2 linked regions of the Coturnix japonica genome follow. The protein of the gene in region 1 purifies or fractionates together with the protein of each later gene. This does not show direct contact. Links are inferred from orthologs where the notes say so. Each region holds a gene or a part of one and is shown in the gene's direction. Other genes may lie near its edges. The genes, in order: RAB3GAP1 and VAPB.

Region 1 (3,916 bases):
TGGTTCAGGCTGTGATTACCAATTTTGCAAACAACTCAGTTTAAAAAAATACAGACAAAACTGTCAGATATGTGTACAAATACACTGAAATGAATATGCATTTAAAGATACATGAATGATAGCCTAGAAGTCATTAGAGTTACATGGGGTTACTGAATGCTAGAGAGAAAGATCATGAAGTCCTTAATGGAAAACTCCTTAATAATGTGCCTAATATGAATTATGTGTGTGGACTTTTTCCATCTAGAGGTAAAAAACACTTTCAGCATTCATTATACATTTTATTACAAGTTATTCCTAACAGGTACTATCGCTGGCAATGGTTTGGGTTTGTTTGCTTATTTGTTTAGCTCATAAATACCCATTTTTAGTCATAAATGCCTTTTTTCCCTTGCACTTCAGCTCAGGGCTCTCAGTGGAGCTACTAATGGGAAAGCAGCCCAGTGTTACAGTGCAGCCAGTGGTAAGATGTAAGCAACAGATGGCAGGTACCAACTCTGTCCTTCAGAGTCCTTCAGGATTGGATTTGTATTTCCAAGTCGTGACAGAGCTCAGTGGAAACAAATGGCCCATGTAGCTCCTGCTGGATTTAGTATTTCGCCACTTACTGCTGGTCAGCAAAAGAACGTGGCCTTTGTTTCTCATTCCATCAGCAATAAGTACACAACAAGCCGTCAGCATACGGCAGCCTTCCCAAGAGACTCATCCGTTTACCCCAGATTAAATTAATCATAACAATTCTACATGTCACCACCCTACATGAGAGAGAAATATTGCTAACACCAAACAGTGCTGCACCCTGACATCGGGCAGTGCTGCCATTGGAGGTTTATAACAGAGGAAGCAGAAGAGAACCAAGATCAGGGACAACCGATATTGTGTGGAACTGCAGTGGAAAGCAGCACTTTTGATTTCTCCTTATGCTAAACAGCAGATAGCCCATCAGAAGGGCGATTATATGAGCCTGTTAAGGGTTATACGCTGAACTTTGCCAGACTTTCCCATTTTTTTGTATATATAGATATATATATTTAATTCAAAATAACAGCTGAACAAGTTCTCAGCTAGCCCTTACCGTGTGTTTCAGCAGCGAAGTGTGGCAGAGGCACAGATTCCACACACACCAACGTGCCGGTGGCGGCGGGGCAGCGGGCTCGGACCTCGTCTCTGTCCCTATCTCTGTTCCTTATCTCTGTTCCTATCTCTATCCCTGTCCCTATCCCTCTCTGTCCCTGTAGCTGTCCCAGCGGCTCGGCCGTTCCGCCGCGCTTCGTTTACACCGCGTTGCCAAGGCACCACAGCCCTCTCCCTTCTCTTTCAATGCTTCCTTTACCTCTACGTCATTTTCCCTTTACAGCCAACACCTCAGCGCTCACTATGGCCGGTACATTCTCATTAATTACTCTCCGTCCCTTTGCAGGCAGCCTTAAGGATTACGTTATTTATTTGTGTTATTTATGACGGAGAAATAGCATGAAGCGCGCACTGGGGTCGAGGCGCTGTGTGAGGAACCCGCCCATCCCGCGCAGCTTCCCGTCAGCCCTTGTGCATGGGGCGGGACGCAGGGCAAGATGGCGGCGGATAGTGAAGTGAGTTGTTTGTGTCCCCCCATCCCGTCCATCCCCAGGTCTCCCTCTCATTGCTTCTCTTGCTTCTCCCTCTCAATGCTTCTCCCTCTCAATGCTTCTCCCGCTCTCTCCCCGCAGCCCGAGTCGGAGGTGTTCGAGATCACGGACTTCACCACCGCCTCCGAGTGGGAGAGGTACGTGCTGCCGCCGGGCTGTGGCCGGCCCTGCGTTTACATAAACAAGTCCATTTTCCAGTGAGAATATCTATGATAGAAAAAGATTTTAAGGCCTGTGTTTAAATTTGAATTTAGATTACGTGTCTAATGTGGTTTTTATTTTTCTCTAAGCAGTGAAGCAGGATTCTGTTTTGTTGCAGTACCAGACAAACGTATAACATCAGTCTCAGTTCTTCCACTCATGTTGTCTTAATGTATGATCATACCTTGATCTGAATTAAACCCTGTGTTGGCCATAACTGGGACATTTTAATTTTAGCTGGTCGTACTTGAAACTCTTCGCAAAACCAATAAGTGGGGGTGAGGGAAGGGTGAGTAGGGGAGACAGAAAGTGTGTTCCTCTATGTTAGAAATTACCTTTTTGAGGAAAAAATCATGCTTGAAGTGTAACTGGAGCATTCAGCAGTGAAGCAGTTGGGCTCGTGGATCCCCAGAGGTCCCTTCCATCCTACAGTTGTGTGATTCTGTGAAAATGGGAGAGACTTTATAAACACTCAACACGTGTTCATTGCTAAACATAAGGCTTATCTGGGATGTGAAACTAAAAGCACCGCTTTGTTTGTACAGGGAAGCAGGCTATTTTTGTTGTGGTCCTTGGTATGTTACTGTTCTTTTTGCTTTGTTTTAAAGGAGTTCCCCAGTAGGACTACTTGTTGCCTGCTTTTGGGAGTTGAATTTACAACACGAGCTGAGCGAGCAATCAGGAAATATTAATACCTTTTTCCCTCCTTAATAGATTTATTTCAAAAATAGAAGAAGTGTTGAATGACTGGAAACTTATCGGGATTTCTTCAGGCAAACCTCTGGAAAAGGTCAGTTGGTCGGTTAGGGCTTCTATGGTGGTGATGGGCAGAGTAGAGGATGCATGTGCTTTAGATGTGCAGTTTCATGTGAAGGAAATATTTAACTCTTCATTGCCTAATAGCGCCGAGGACTTCTGTACTCGAAATAAAAGCAATTAACATAGATTTTAGCATTCCGCTAACTTTAAGTGCTTTGAGAATTATCTTCGTAGTAAACCATGACTAGCTGTAAAAAAAAAAGGAGAGAAAGGGGAACAAATATTAACCTGAATTTATGTGATCAAGTAATAGCTTTGCTTGTTGCTTTTGCTATTTCCAATCTGCAGGGTGTATACACCACAGGAACCTGGGAGGAGAAATCAGATGAAATTTCATTTGCAGACTTCAAATTCTCAGTTACACATCATTATCTTGTGCAAGAACCTGGAGACAGAGATGGGAGAGAAGAAGGTGTAGAAGGTAGCTGACAGTATTCTTTTGTGCCTGAAATGTGTCACAGGTGTTGTAAGGATATGACAGAAGACAATTTCAGAGTGCTGATTTGCATCTGTGTGAAATCTGGGGGGGGGATCTGATGGGCTGGACTTGACATTTCTGATTTTTACTACATCTTACTGTGAACAAATTGCTAAAGAAGTAAACTTCTGGTTATAGGGATGCTGATGGTCTTAGGTGTCACATCTTTTTGCAGATGCCCTTCCTCTGCCTATGCAGGACTTGCTCTGCATGAACAATGACTTTCCTCCTCGAGCTCACTGTCTAGTAAGATGGTATGTATGCTGCCTTTCTTCTTTAACACAGAGAAGCATAGCAATAGATTGTTTTTAGGTTTAATTACAGTTCTTACTAACCGTAGTAAGAAACTCAGGACTGGTACACCTGGAAAATCCTCCTAACATTCAGTAGTGTTTGAGCATTGTTGAATTCCTGTAGTGCTGTGATGATCTACAGTACTGCATTCCCAGTCAGATCTTGGCCTCTGTGAAGAAGTGACACACAGCAAAATAAGAGTCATATCCTGTTGGTGACAGTTGGATTATTCAGGTTATAACGTTTCTGACAATTCTGTGTTAGAGCTGGTTTATTGGAGCACACAGATATATTGCCTTTTCCCTGCTCTTTCTCTAAGGTACGGCTTACGTGAGTTTGTGGTTATTGCTCCAGCTGCAAATAGTGATGCGGTTCTTAGTGAATCAAAATGTAACCTGCTGCTGAGTTCTGTCTCTATTGCTTTGGGCAACACTGGCTGGTAGGTGAAAGCATGAACTTTTTTATATGCTCAGGTGAAACTAGCGTACTATTTATGTAG
Region 2 (3,816 bases), on another chromosome or scaffold:
AGGTGTTCTGTCCTTAGAGGCTGCTCTCAGAACATTATTTCATGCCAGGTCTTGGCTCGTTTCGCACACATAAAATGCTAGAAAAGCAAAGCTTTCTTTATTCTACTGCAGTGTTGGATACTGGCTTCTTTTGCCCTATCACAGCTGCTCCTAAATACCAGCATTTAAGTCTCAGTTAGCATGCACTGCTTGCTGCAAAGTCAGGTTTGTAGCCCATGTTTTCACCTGTTATATAATGGTGTGTAATTTTAACAGCTGAGTTTATGTAACTGTCAGGAAGTGTATGTGTGCTGTCACCCTGTTTGATTGCGTTTGGTTGTAAGTACTTGGCAAAGAAGGCTGTTTGCACCCATTCTGTTTTTGTTACACGTGTCTTATTTGAACAAAGACAGCTGATTTTGTGGCTTCCGAGAGGTTGAAATCTAAATAAAAGATACAAATGAATTCCAGATGAAGAGTGAGAAACTAGAAGCAGGTGCTGATGTCTGCAGCTAGGTGTACAACGGAGAGATGAAGGGTGCATGGTGTGCCCTGCTGCACAGAGCAGCCCAAGCAGACTCCTGGGCATGGGGAGAGCTGACGTTATCCTTGTGTTGTCAGGTACCCTGATCTTTTGTGCAGTTACCTCACTAGGAAGAGGTGGGTTGTGTTTCCTTCAGGTCAGGGCTGCCCACAGCAGTTCTGCCCCTTCTCAGCCACCAGCCATATGCTGCTCCCCTGGGCCTCATTGGCCAACATGGCAAGTGCTGAGCATGGACTGCGGTGGATGTATGGCTTCCAAATGATAATAGAAATTGCTAGTGATGTTTGGTATTAGTCTTGTTAAATGCTTTTGTAAGCAGTTCTGGCTCAAAGACAGCACACTAAAAACCCTTACGATGATGTAAAATTCAAAGGCTGAAGACATGCAGCAAGAACTGAGTGTCCTTGGAGGCTTCAGTAAGAGAAACAGGATGAGTTTTGTCATAAAAACTGCAGAATCATGTACTTGGATTTCTTCTTCTATAATTGCAAGCTTTCTGAACAAAGTGGGTGATGTTAGGATATTGTAACTGATCAGTGATGACCAAGTTGCTGACATCATGTGGCTGTGAATAGGGCAAATGCAGTGTGTGCAAACAAACTAGGCAGTGGAAAAGATAAGAGTGTGAATGTTGTCATTAATAAAATTTCATGGTTGTATACATAGAGTAACTCATACAGAGGAATTCAAGCCAGAACAGGTGTGGAGAATGAATGGGGGCCCTGACTCAGAGAGGACAGACCAAGTCTGGCTTGTTTAGTTTACCAGGAGGCCACGAGTTACTGTGATTGATGTCTTGGAATGCTACAAGTAAAGGACTCTTCCCCTTCTTTGATACTGAAGCGTGAGCGCAGTGTTGGTCCAAGACCAAGTGAACAGGCCATTAATAAATTTAGATGGAAACCAGAGGAAGGCTGATGATCTGAGCAGGGAGGCTGTTCGTTCCTGCTCTTGGAATGGAAGGTCGGATCCTGGCAGGCTTTTACAGCACATTTGCATAATGTCTTCCCTGCCTCAATTTTCCCCTGCCTTTGATATGGTTATTACCTTCACCATTAGCTGATCACCAACTCTGCTTCACCGTCTGCAGATCGTTCGTATCAAACATGGAAGATACAGTGGGAATGTGTGAGCAGACTGGTGCCCGTTCATTTGAAACATGTCAGATTGGGATATATGTGGGGTTGGTCCTTCAGGTGAATTTTGAGAGGCGGCGTGTCTTGCAAATACAACAGACATTATTCCTCATTCCATTGGTCTCCCAGTGGCTTTGCAGTTTTATTTTATGACAGAGCACTTGTGGTGTTTGAGCTGTAGGGCAGTCAGTGGAGGCGAGGAGGGCATTGCAGCCACTGGCTGATGGATGCTGGTTCTGGCCTGTCTGAATCTGCTGTTAATTATTTTCTAACACCAGTTTCTGGTGGGAGCTGGTCAGTAACATTGCACCAGCAAAGAAGATTTGAAAAGATATTTTTAGGAGTAATTCTGGTGTAAGGTCTGCAATTGGCAGTCAGAGCAAAGGAGCTGTACTCCCAGTAGTGAATTGTGTCACAATTAGGGCACTTCCATAACTGCTCTTTCACAGAAACCCCCAATAGTACGAGAGTGTGTGCTGAATGGTTTTGAATGGTTTGGTTTCCTCTTGAACAAAGGGAGTATTTTTGAGCTTCCCATCTGGCTTACAAGGCGTTTGCTGAATAATTTGTGTCGATGTGGCTTTCGTGTATTGATCTAAAAATACAAGTGCTAACAACGCTGATACTGTCAAGCCCTCTCTAGCTGCTTGCTGTTGTGATTCAGTGAGTGGAATTCAGAGCAGCAGTTGCTCAGTGTTCAAGAATGGTTTCAGCACCATCACTGTGGAAATAATGATTTGCAAATGAGCTTATGGTCACACTGAGCAAAGCAAACTGGTACAACTGCAGCTCTGGAGAAGTTCCCTCAGCAGTGAAATAGCTTCATGTACCCATTGGCTCTTGCACATCATGTAGACTTGAAATAAGCGTTAGGTGTCTGTTACGGGGGGCAAAAAGATTGTTCTGCTTTTCAGCAACATGTTGTGCAGTGCTGAAATACACATCACAGTTCAGTCATTTCTGTTTGAAAGAACAGTTTTACGTGGAGCCTGTTGAAATGGAAGTGTTTATTTTGGACTAGTAGTTAATTATTGTAAGGCCAGTTAAAGTGTATCATGAATTTTACTGCACATTTGAGACAATTCGCTGTCTCCTTTTTCCTGCAGCTTTGAAAGGCTTGTGGTTGTTGATGGCCACAGATTGTGTGTGCAGTAAAAATGGCGCAGGCATCGCGTATTCTGCTCATCGAAGGAGGCAGATTGGTTTGGCTCTTCTTCATTTGCAATAAATGGGATCTTTGGATAACACCTGTACACTGCAGATCCCTGCAATTGGTGTGTGTGAATTTCAGTGCATGTTAATAACAATGATGCTTGAAAGTAATCCCACGTCTTGAACCGCTTCTGTTCATAGCAGTTGAATTGAGAGCCTCACAGACCATGAAATGTGGATTTTTGTTGAAGTTTGTCCGATTCTTTCATTGAGAGGCTTTCCTGCTGCCTCAGAAGATCTGTATGTTGCCCTGTTTGCTATTAATTGCTATCATGTCGCCGTATTTATGTACAGAATACTGCATTGTGCTCAGCAGTTCCAAACTTTGCAGGCAGAAATCAGTGCAGACTGAAGAATTCTGTTTCTTTTAACTTCTTCAATATTTTAAGTAGGGCTGCAGATCTCAGCTGTTCCTTTGTCAGAGAGATACACTACTTTGCAATCATGTTAATGTTTGTATTTCTCAAATCTTGTAACTAATCATCTGTGTATGACTGTGCATCAGAACAACATTAACGTAACGTTATGGGGTTTTTCTTGCAGTGATGCTACAGCCTTTTGACTATGACCCCAATGAGAAAAGTAAACACAAGTTTATGGTTCAGTCTATGTTTGCTCCAGCTGATACTTCAGATATGGAAGCAGTAGTAAGTATTGAAAGTAAATAAAATGGATGTATTTCTGTTTCTGTAATTCATAAGACATCATTGCTTCAGGGCTCTTTGGAAACCAGGCTGGATGTTCCTTGAGAGCATTGGCAGATTGCTATCACAACCACGGTTGCTTCCTTGGAAGGCTGCTGTTTGTAATGGTGCACCAAGCTATGAAACATGTGAAGTTGTTGTAATTTTATATATATATATATATGACATGTGGTATCTTTTATATATGACATGATATGCAATATCTTTTATATTGCGTGTCTTTGTAGTCTGTCTTGATTTC

The links.
Region 2: the proteins of RAB3GAP1 (region 1) and VAPB purify together in Homo sapiens (affinity purification with mass spectrometry; 4 studies listed by BioGRID and IntAct, counting the BioPlex papers as one, with this or other methods). This does not show direct contact. The link is inferred for Coturnix japonica from reciprocal best matches to the Homo sapiens genes RAB3GAP1 and VAPB.

Annotation. Positions count from the first base shown.
Region 1 is NC_029522.1:27,696,729-27,700,644, forward strand, and holds the start of RAB3GAP1 (rab3 GTPase-activating protein catalytic subunit), read left to right. Parts: upstream 1-1,478; 5' UTR 1,479-1,571; coding exon 1,572-1,589; intron 1,590-1,706; coding exon 1,707-1,762; intron 1,763-2,161; coding exon of another isoform or gene 2,162-2,181; exon of another isoform or gene 2,182-2,507; intron 2,508-2,540; coding exon 2,541-2,616; intron 2,617-2,933; coding exon 2,934-3,066; intron 3,067-3,298; coding exon 3,299-3,377; intron 3,378-3,736; coding exon 3,737-3,856; intron 3,857-3,916. Other genes in the region: MAP3K19 (mitogen-activated protein kinase kinase kinase 19), read right to left, coding at 2,162-2,181. UniProt on the Homo sapiens protein: Catalytic subunit of the Rab3 GTPase-activating (Rab3GAP) complex composed of RAB3GAP1 and RAB3GAP2, which has GTPase-activating protein (GAP) activity towards various Rab3 subfamily members (RAB3A, RAB3B, RAB3C and RAB3D), RAB5A and RAB43, and guanine nucleotide exchange factor (GEF) activity towards RAB18.
Region 2 is NC_029535.1:10,106,067-10,109,882, reverse strand, and holds part of VAPB (vesicle-associated membrane protein-associated protein B/C), read left to right. Parts: intron 1-3,414; coding exon 3,415-3,518; intron 3,519-3,816. UniProt on the Homo sapiens protein: Endoplasmic reticulum (ER)-anchored protein that mediates the formation of contact sites between the ER and endosomes via interaction with FFAT motif-containing proteins such as STARD3 or WDR44.